Linked DNA regions of Caenorhabditis elegans. The protein of the gene in region 2 interacts with the protein of the main gene of each other region in a biochemical or structural test. Each region holds a gene or a part of one and is shown on either strand. Other genes may lie near its edges.

The links.
Region 1: of the proteins of frpr-18 (region 2) and flp-2, one has a biochemical effect on the other in vitro, tested with the Caenorhabditis elegans proteins (3 studies listed by BioGRID, with this or other methods).

Annotation. Positions count from the first base shown.
Region 1 is NC_003284.9:10,093,930-10,096,878, forward strand, and holds flp-2 (SPREPIRF-amide), read right to left. Parts: upstream 1,296-2,949; 5' UTR 1,227-1,295; coding exon 952-1,226; intron 746-951; coding exon 700-745; 3' UTR 501-699; downstream 1-500. Other genes in the region: W07E11.1 (glutamate synthase (NADH)), read left to right, coding at 1,605-1,760, 1,819-2,091, 2,438-2,590, 2,774-2,852.
Region 2 is NC_003283.11:6,868,381-6,874,520, forward strand, and holds frpr-18 (FMRFamide peptide receptor frpr-18), read left to right. Parts: upstream 1-1,918; 5' UTR 1,919-1,929; coding exon 1,930-2,043; intron 2,044-2,155; coding exon 2,156-2,553; intron 2,554-2,601; coding exon 2,602-2,743; intron 2,744-3,399; coding exon 3,400-3,525; intron 3,526-3,640; coding exon 3,641-3,771; intron 3,772-3,828; coding exon 3,829-3,957; intron 3,958-4,006; coding exon of another isoform or gene 4,007-4,043; intron 4,044-4,245; coding exon 4,246-4,332; intron 4,333-4,574; coding exon 4,575-4,646; intron 4,647-5,090; coding exon 5,091-5,190; 3' UTR 5,191-5,429; downstream 5,430-6,140. UniProt on the Caenorhabditis elegans protein: G-protein coupled receptor for flp-2 neuropeptides. May act through the G(q) alpha type of G proteins.

The DNA.
Region 1 (2,949 bases), on a different chromosome or scaffold from region 2:
CAAAACGTAGATAGACATTTGTTCTCAAAAAAGAAAGAAATGACAGAATCCGATTGGTGCCTGTTGGTTGAGATGCCACCTTGTCGAATTTGTGAAGCGAAGCTGATTAATGAACTGAGCTTTAAGGAGGGGGGATTTTCTGTTTTTGAATAATTAAACATTATTTTTTGTCAAAAACGTCACTTGTCAGAACGCGAGAAATGATTAAGTAGGTTGAACTAATCTTGTTCTCAAGATTGAACAGTGTTTTGAAATTAAAACGAAAACTAATAAATCAAAGCTTCTTGGAAATTCTAGCACCTTCCAAAGTCACTCCACATGTTTAATTATGAGCACTCATTGACATTTCCGAAACAATTCTTTGAAGAACTAGCAAGACTGAATTTTAAAATTTTGATCTTGAAAATAGTGTGCCTCGTTTTCTGACCTAATCTGGCTAAAATCTGAAATTCAGTGCCAGTAGTCGTTTCCTTTGTTCGCGAAGAAAACGTAAGACTTGGTTAACAGATGGGCTATTATTCCATGCGGAACCCAACCACTTTATTCGAAGTTATAGGAAACATAGTTTAAAAAATGTTGTTGCATTGAAAGTACGGATCAAAATATAGGACGAGAATGGGAAGAAAATGTTGGAATATCTAATATGATGTTGGCTGAGTAGTGGGGTTCACCGTGCATTGAATCATTGATAGGATGGAGTTATTGGAAGTCGTAATCTGGCAGCGGATTGAATCGTTTTCCGAAACTGAAAATAATAAAATAAATTCTATCGATCTGCAAGTGTATTAAACATTTTTGTAAGAAGTGATTCTAGTAAGAATACATGACGTTTCCAAATATGTGTTTGGGTTTTAAGCTTGATTTATGTTGTTTTTCCAAATTTTGAAAAAAATTCGGAAACTTTTAAACTACTTGATATACTTCATATCATCAATTATCTCTCATACTCACCGAATGGGCTCGCGCGGGGAGCGTTTGCCAAAACGAATGGGTTCTCCACGAAGACGTTTTGCCATTGCTGAAGCTTCGAAAATTCCAAGAGTGTTGTCGTTGACAGCTGGCTGGGCGACAGTAGTACCCTTTAAATAAGCTAGTTGGCCACGTAATAACTGATCCCGACTAGTGGGAATGGGGAGTATCCGCTTTGGTTGCACAAACTGGAAGGGACTTACAATGACGGCGAGAAGGACGAGGAAAAGAGCAGATAGGATTCCAGAAACTTGCATGGTTTGCGACAATTGGTTTGGCAACGACTGACAATGAGTCAGACGAAAGCTCTGTGTGCGGGTGTGTACCTGAAAATGGAGAGCTTTTTCACACGAGATCGTTTTTGGCAAGAGATAGTAAAACGAAGAGCAGATAGAAATGTAGAGAAAGTGGGTGATGCGTGCTCATTAGCTCGTACAGATCGGATTACAATGTGAACTAGCGTCAAAGAGCGTTGGGCGAGAGCAGTTGCGCAATAACATCTCATCATGTAGAAATGGTGATTTTGAGTGAAGACGTGAAAGATCAGACTAGTGAAGCACGCGCAAAAGTCTCCAGAGGAATTAAATGAATTGCAATAAATAAGTTATTTTAATTATAATCAATGTACTTTACAGGATCGTCTCAAACCCGGACGCATGCTCCTTGTGGACACACATCTCAAAAAGATCGAGCTCGATGAGGACCTTAAGACAAGAATTGCTTTGTCAAGACCTCATAAGCAACTTTCCGCATCGAGAATCTACTTGGACTTGATTCGCAAGGATGATGTGGTTAGTAGTAAAAGACAAAAAAAAAATTGAATTGTGACAAATTTTAACTAATTTTTAGCTCTCTCACGGTGCCGTCACCAATGAATACCTTAATCGTCTTCATTTGGAGCAGGTGAACCCTGGTCTTATGAAGAAAAAGGATGTTCATCTAGACTCTGACCGTCGTCTGGCCTTGTATGCCTATACCCATGACACTTTCAGCTTGCTCTTAGTTCCAATGATCAAGGAGAAGAAGGAAGCTCTCGGGTCAATGGGGAATGATGCTGCGTTGGCTTGTCTGTCTGATTACAGCCCGCTGTTGTTCAGTTATTTCCAGCAACTCTTCGCCCAGGTGGGTTCATAAGCAGAATGGGAAAAAATGAGTAAAGAGAGTAACCAACGGTTCTTCGAAGTTCAAATCTAGAAAAGTAGTCGGAGGCCATTAAATTGTTTTGACTTCATTCGCATACTCCTCCTATTCTATCCATGTAGTTGATTAGAAAAACAAACTTAAGACTGCCCAAAATCGTAATTTTGAGGAACGACGACTTTTTTTGGAGAAATGTATTTTCATTTCTAAGCTTGTTTAACTATGACGTCCGAGTGAAAGAATTAGAAAAAATTGTTCATGAAAATATGTATTAAAAAGTGAGAAAAGTTCCTGGTAGAGTGAACACAGATTGAGCACTTGATTACAGGTCACCAACCCACCAATTGACCCTTTCCGTGAACAAATCGTCATGTCGTTGAGATGCCCAATTGGACCTGAGTCTAACATGCTTGAGCCAGACACCGAACTTGCCAGTCGGCTCATCTTGGAGCAGCCAGTTCTTTCAATGGTTGATATGGAGGTTGGTACATAAAGGGGAAACAAGGAAGAAGATCATACAAATGAAAAAACCAGAGGAGAGCTAGCGCATTTATAGTTTTGCAATTATCTGAAACTGGCTCCAAACTCCTCCTTTGTTTGTCTTGTTGGAATTTCTCATGACGCATCAAATCAATCATTATCATCTTCAGTATTGCAATTTCAGGTCATCAAACGAACTATGTACAAGGGATGGAAAGCAAAGGAAATTGACATCACTTACCCAGTCAAATATGGAGTGAAAGGTACTAAAAACATGAGGATGTTAAGGAAATACGTTTTGATGGGGCTAATCTTCAAGAAAGTTGCAATTTTTGCGGGCGACGATAGATAATTAGTGGC
Region 2 (6,140 bases):
TCTTTCCCGTTTATTTTTTTTACTTTGCATTTTTCTGTTTATGTCAATGCAAACCTATGTATACAAAAATGGTAGCGAACAAAAATTGGCCGCTATTACAGTAGTCTACTGCCAAAAGTGCAAGCGGAGACAGAAGATCACGTGAGCCGGCGATGGTGAGGAGGGGGGCTCGTCCCCACATATTCATTCGTAGTCCTGATGAATGCGTGGATTTCAAATGCGATCAGAATATTTCCGCGGAGACTCACGTAGTAGTACAGCCTACATACTCAGGAAGGTTATTCCCACTTTTTAGAATGATCAATTTTAAAGTTTTCAAGTTCGGTATAATCCTGTTCGTTTCTCTTTTCCGATTTCCTCATGTGACATGTTTGCTGATATTATTGGTTTTTTAAAACTAACCTGAAAATATTATTTTCCACTGGAAAACTAGTTTTTATAGACTTTTTTTGTGAATTGACATAAATTTAATAGATATTTATATAGGTATTCTTCCACTTACAAGGAAAGGAAGTCAATCTAGTCCCGGACTTTAAATCGAGACGTATGTCATTTGAAAGCTTATGTTTAGAATAGATCACCACAAAAATTTCAGCGCCGGAACTCAACTCTGAACCCCTGAAATCGCCATCCAAAAAGCTTCCACATTGTTTGTTAGACCCCAAAAACCCCCAAAAACAATTTCTAATGGCTCAGAACCCCTTTTAAGGTCATTTACTTGACATAGAAATCAGCGAAAAAATGCACTGGAGCACTTTCAGATAGCGATTTCAGGGATTCAGTGTTGAGTTCCGCCGCTGAAATTTTTGTGGTGATCTATTCTATTCTAAACATAAGCTTTCAAATGACATACGTCTCGATTTAAAGTCCGGGAATAGATTTACTTCCTTTCCTTGTTAGATGAAAATCATATAGCGATACGATTATCTCCTGAAATTTTTCACAAGGCTATGACAAAATTATGAAGAAATTCTATAACTATTATTCACTCATTTTAAGTTTTGAAATTTTTTTATAGAAAACATATGTATAAGTTTGAATTTACCACGCAAACCAGATCGGCACTTAATCAGTGTCGGTTGCCACGCCTGACGCTAATTGGTTGATTTAATGATGTTGAAAGTGCCCAATAGTTATATGTTCCATTTTAAAACAACAAATTTTATAACAAAATACTCTTATGGTTCGAGTCCTACTGAAACTTTGTATGTCATTTGTCATTACGGTGACCGTGTTGTAAGTTAAGAGTATGATATATTTTTCTCGAGAATATGTGGAACAAAAATATTAAAAGTTTGTTCTTTTATTTTTAAGCTTTTTTAATGCTGTTTTTTTTCAAAATTAGAGAGCTCTGATCACGCGTTCACAAGATAATTTCCGCGAGTTATCTGATTTCAAACGAACCCAATTACAAAATCTCAATGTGCATATACCGCTAATTTGCATCTATTCATTACATTTTGAATACTTTCGGATTTCCATACATCACCCATCCCATCCATCCCGAAAATTCATGATTCATTTTTTGTCTTGTCCCGTCCGCTTTCCCACCTTTTCATCCCACATTTCACGTGATTATTCAGGAGAAAACTTGGAGTAACATGGGAAAAGTCGATCTATCAGACACAAGTTGGTCTCTACCCTGCCATCCGGTTGTAATCGGTTCACATTTTCGGAGCGTTTTGTTCCAAACAGTTTAGTTTTAATAGTTTCAGCAAGGTGGCAGAAATGCTGGAAACATAGACTGAAATTGTATTTTAATAGTTTGTTTACCAATGTCTTATACTACAAAAAATTGTACTATTCCCTCCTCTTTTTCCTCCTTCATCCAGCTCTGTTCTTCTGACCAAGTCAGTTTCTTTGCTCTTTGAATCAGCCTCACTTTTCTTGACTCGACCAGTCCGACTAAAATCAAAACCTTTCAGAACAATGGAAAGCCAGCAGTTGATGGCATGTGCCATCCTGGTAATTGTGCTGGTAGGGATTTTTGGAAATTCACTTTCGTTTATTTTGTTCAGCAGACCGCATATGCGATCTTCATCAGTGAGTTTTTTAAAATGTTAACTAAAATTTTCTACTCTGAAATTTGCATTTACCAAAAAATTAGAATTTGCTAAAAAAATACATTCAAATAATCAATCTTCAATTTTTTCAGGTAAATGTACTTCTATGTGCTTTATCATTCTTCGACTTTTCACTATTAACCCTTTCAATTCCAATATTCGTCATCCCAAATCTCGATTTATGGGCTAACGATTTATCACTTTCAACATATATGGCATATATTCTCAAGCTCATCTATCCAATCAACTTGATGATGCAGACGTGTTCCGTTTATATAATGGTGATGATAACTCTCGAACGTTGGGTTGCCGTGTGTCGACCTTTACAAGTTAGAGTCTGGTGCACACCTCGAAAATCTCGAAACGCGATTCTCGTCATCATCGTGTCTGCTTTCTTGTACAATTTCGTTCGGTTTTTCGAATATCGATTTGTAGTGACGGAAAGTGGAGCGCTATACGAAAAATGGCTGAGAGATCCAGGAAAGCATAGGTAGGGTTTCAGAAATATTTTGAAAAAAAGAAAGTAACAATGTTTCAGGTGGTACTACGTTGGCTACTACACAATTCTTTACATTGTCACACATTTTTTGGTGCCATTTTCTGTTATGGCATTTGCAAATGGGCATGTGATAGTTGCAATGTGCAAACTTAGCAAAACACGGCAGATGCTCACAAGACAGGTATTTTGAATTAAAATGTTTAAAAATATAAAGACATTCCAAATTTCTTAAATTGTCATTCTAAAGTGTTGTGGTAAATTGATTATTTTTAAATTTCAAAGTTTAATTCAAGCCAAAACTTTTTGAACTGAATATTGGAACACAATTACAGCCCTCTGAAAATTAAAAAAAAATTGATTTTTGTTCATGGGTTGATATATGCTATAGAAATGCTATAGAAAAAATTATAACAGAAAAATACAGTTAACAAATTATTTAAATTTGGATTACCGTCCATATTTTTGGTGTTCTAGAATTGTTTTCTAGTGAAAAAAAAATGTTATTGCGCACAGTTTTATATGCAAGAACCAAAATAAAATTCGAATTCCCCCGGAAGGTCATGTAAATTCAGTCTCGTTCAAATATGTTAAGCTATGTATTTCAAATTGAAATAACATATTTTGAATCAAAAATTGTTGTGTAAGTTTCCTGATTATTGAAAGTTTAACTACTCGTTCTACATTTCTGAATTGTTTCCTTCCACATACTTGAATAACACTTGATTTTGCTATTTTTGCTGAAGGTAATAAATATGAAAAACTTTATACTTCAAGCTTTAGAAGAAAATTTTAAGAAAAGATTTATTCAATTTTTTTTTCAAATTGTTAATAATATAGCAACAACGGGAACAGTCGACGACAGTAATGCTACTTATCGTCACATTTGTTTTCGCAATTTGCAACACTCTTCCTTTCCTTCTCAACGTCTCAGAGAGCATTTTCCCGACATTATTCCAAGACGAGGTTTGAATAAGTCATTGTGATTGCGTGTTTTGTCCACTTCTCTCGTTTTGTTACTACAAAAAGCCCTGGTTCTCGTGATTCGATGTCAACAAACTCAATCTTAAAATTGTTGCAGAGCACGCGGGGACTGGCATATTGGCTCAATGATCTATCTAATCTTCTAGTGGTTCTTAACTCGGGTACAACTTTCATTATCTATTTCACTTTCTCAGAGAAGTACAGGCAAACTTTAGTTTTTATTCTCAAGTAAGTAATTTACACTTCTGATTTCAAAAAATTGAAGACTACAATAAGTCTTTGTAGGAATGGATGTTGTGCAACCGTCAGCGACTACAACAACTATACAGCCATGTCTAGAACGGCTTCGATGAGAATTTCAAGCGAGACGGGCGGTCAAATTCAACGACAGGGATCTAAAATGAGCAATAGCAGGTATGCAATGAGCCAGGCCATTCAAATTGTTAAAATAAATCAATTTTAGTTATAGAAAGCCAATTCTAAACGCGCATCTGTCGGAGGTAAAAATGAATCAAAAAATATTATTTTAAAAACGAAATAAATAACAATTTCTCACTAATATGTGCACGAGCTTATAAAATTCTATGTTCCGTCCAAAAACTTGCATCATGAAAACTAATTTTCAGCCGAATGCGCTAACTTCTCTCCTCTCTGTCTCGCATGATTTGAGAATTAACTCAAATTAATTTTTAAAATTTTCAGCCGCTCATCGGACGTTCTTCTCAAACCAATTTACATGCAGAAAAGAAGCGAACGCTTCTCGTCGGAGTACAACGAACGAACTTGCAAGTTAGTTTTTTTTCTGATTTCGAAAAATGTTCAGAAATATAATTAAACAGATACCTTTTTTTTGGGTTAGCAAAATTTCGATAATGGTTTTCATTTATTTTTTATTTACACGAATCTGAACCTGAAACGTCAATGGAGAATTATCTCCAGTTGAAAATAATTTCAGAAATTAAAAAAAATTGAATTAAAGGAAAATGGCGGAAAAAATACTGTAATACAACTCCCAACAAAATTTTTTCCAGACACCTTGCTCCTTTCGAAGAGCACAAATTACCAAAATTGCCGAGCGAGAAGAGGAAGAAGAAACTACATAAGTGAGTATTTTTTGAAATTCTGATTATAAATTTTTTAATTTTCAAGAAATTTTGCTGTTTTTTCTTAATCTCAGTAAAAATACTTTAGCTTTCTGGTTTTAAAATCTGTGAAATTTTCAAAAATAAAGTTTCAATGATAAAATACTTTTAAAAAAATTTAAAAATTAAAAAAGAATTGCCAAATAATGATACATTTAAATGATTGGTGATTAGAAAAAAATGGCGTTAAAGTTTTGTATCACCTTACGGTTTTGTCAAAGCTGTAAGCTGATCTTTTCATTCTATTTCTCTCCCGAAACTCATGGGAACCTTTTTTTTTTGAAATGTGATGTTACTGTATAAAATATGAGTGACGTCACACTTGCCAGAAATGTTCTGAAAGATTGAAGAGATAATCTGAATAGTCGAGATACAAATACAAACGTTTTAAATGAAAATTTCCAGAATGTCGGCTGTAGAACATCGTGGGATGCCTGAAATCACTATCACTTTTAGTGAGGACCTTCCAGATGGAGAACCCGATTCTCCATGTCAACCATGCTAGATTTTATCATTTTCTTTTCACTTGTAGCTTTTTTGTTTGTCTCTTTATTATTATTATCGCCAATTTCTTCCTATGCACCGATCTTTCCAAGCTTTCTTCCATACGAACAATTCCAAATTCCAAACACGGGTTGCCTCATTTGTTCTTTTTTTCTTCGTTTGTCTTTTGCCTCATCTTCTCCACCAGACAAGCATAAATGTGTATATATTTGTTGGCGGTGAGAATAAAAAGTTGAAGCCAATGCCCCCTCAAATGTACATGAAAGTGCGTGGTAGGGAACAAATGACTCCAGGGAGCAATGAATTTTCGAGTGTCACACAAAAGCAGCGGACATTCAATGTGTGGCGGGTTGGCTCCTTTTTTTTTTCTTTTGCAGAGAGTTGCCAATTTGAAAATTAAAAATATTTTTGAGATTAAGATTTACATTTACATGCACAGGTAATACTTCAAAACATCACTTTTTACAAGTTCAAAACCGGTCTATGGCGGCTACTATTTTGCGATTTCAACTCATTGTACAGTTGCGGCATTTTTAAATTTAAACTGTGTAATTGTAGAATTCACACCATATCAATATTTTTTCAAATAATATTTTCAATAAGTCACTACAAAAAAATTAGATGTAGTTGAGTACTCTGGAGCTGGTAAATTTTGATCTAAATTTTTTTCGAGCAATCAGCAATACTCCCAAAGCTTGCAAAATCGCGCCGAAATCTGACTTTTGCAGACTTTCAATGATTTTACGAATTTTTGAGATTCGGAAAACAACATTCTGAAAAATTTTTGTGAAGCTTTATTGTTTTGAAAACAAATCTGAAAGTTCGTTATTTTAACTCAATCTAAAAATTTCAGATTTACGAAGTCGGTAAAATGTGGTTCAGAATTTTTCACTAAAGCTCAATTTTTCGGGAGAGTCTATTTAGGCTTCTAGGTATTATCTGGAGCTTCGG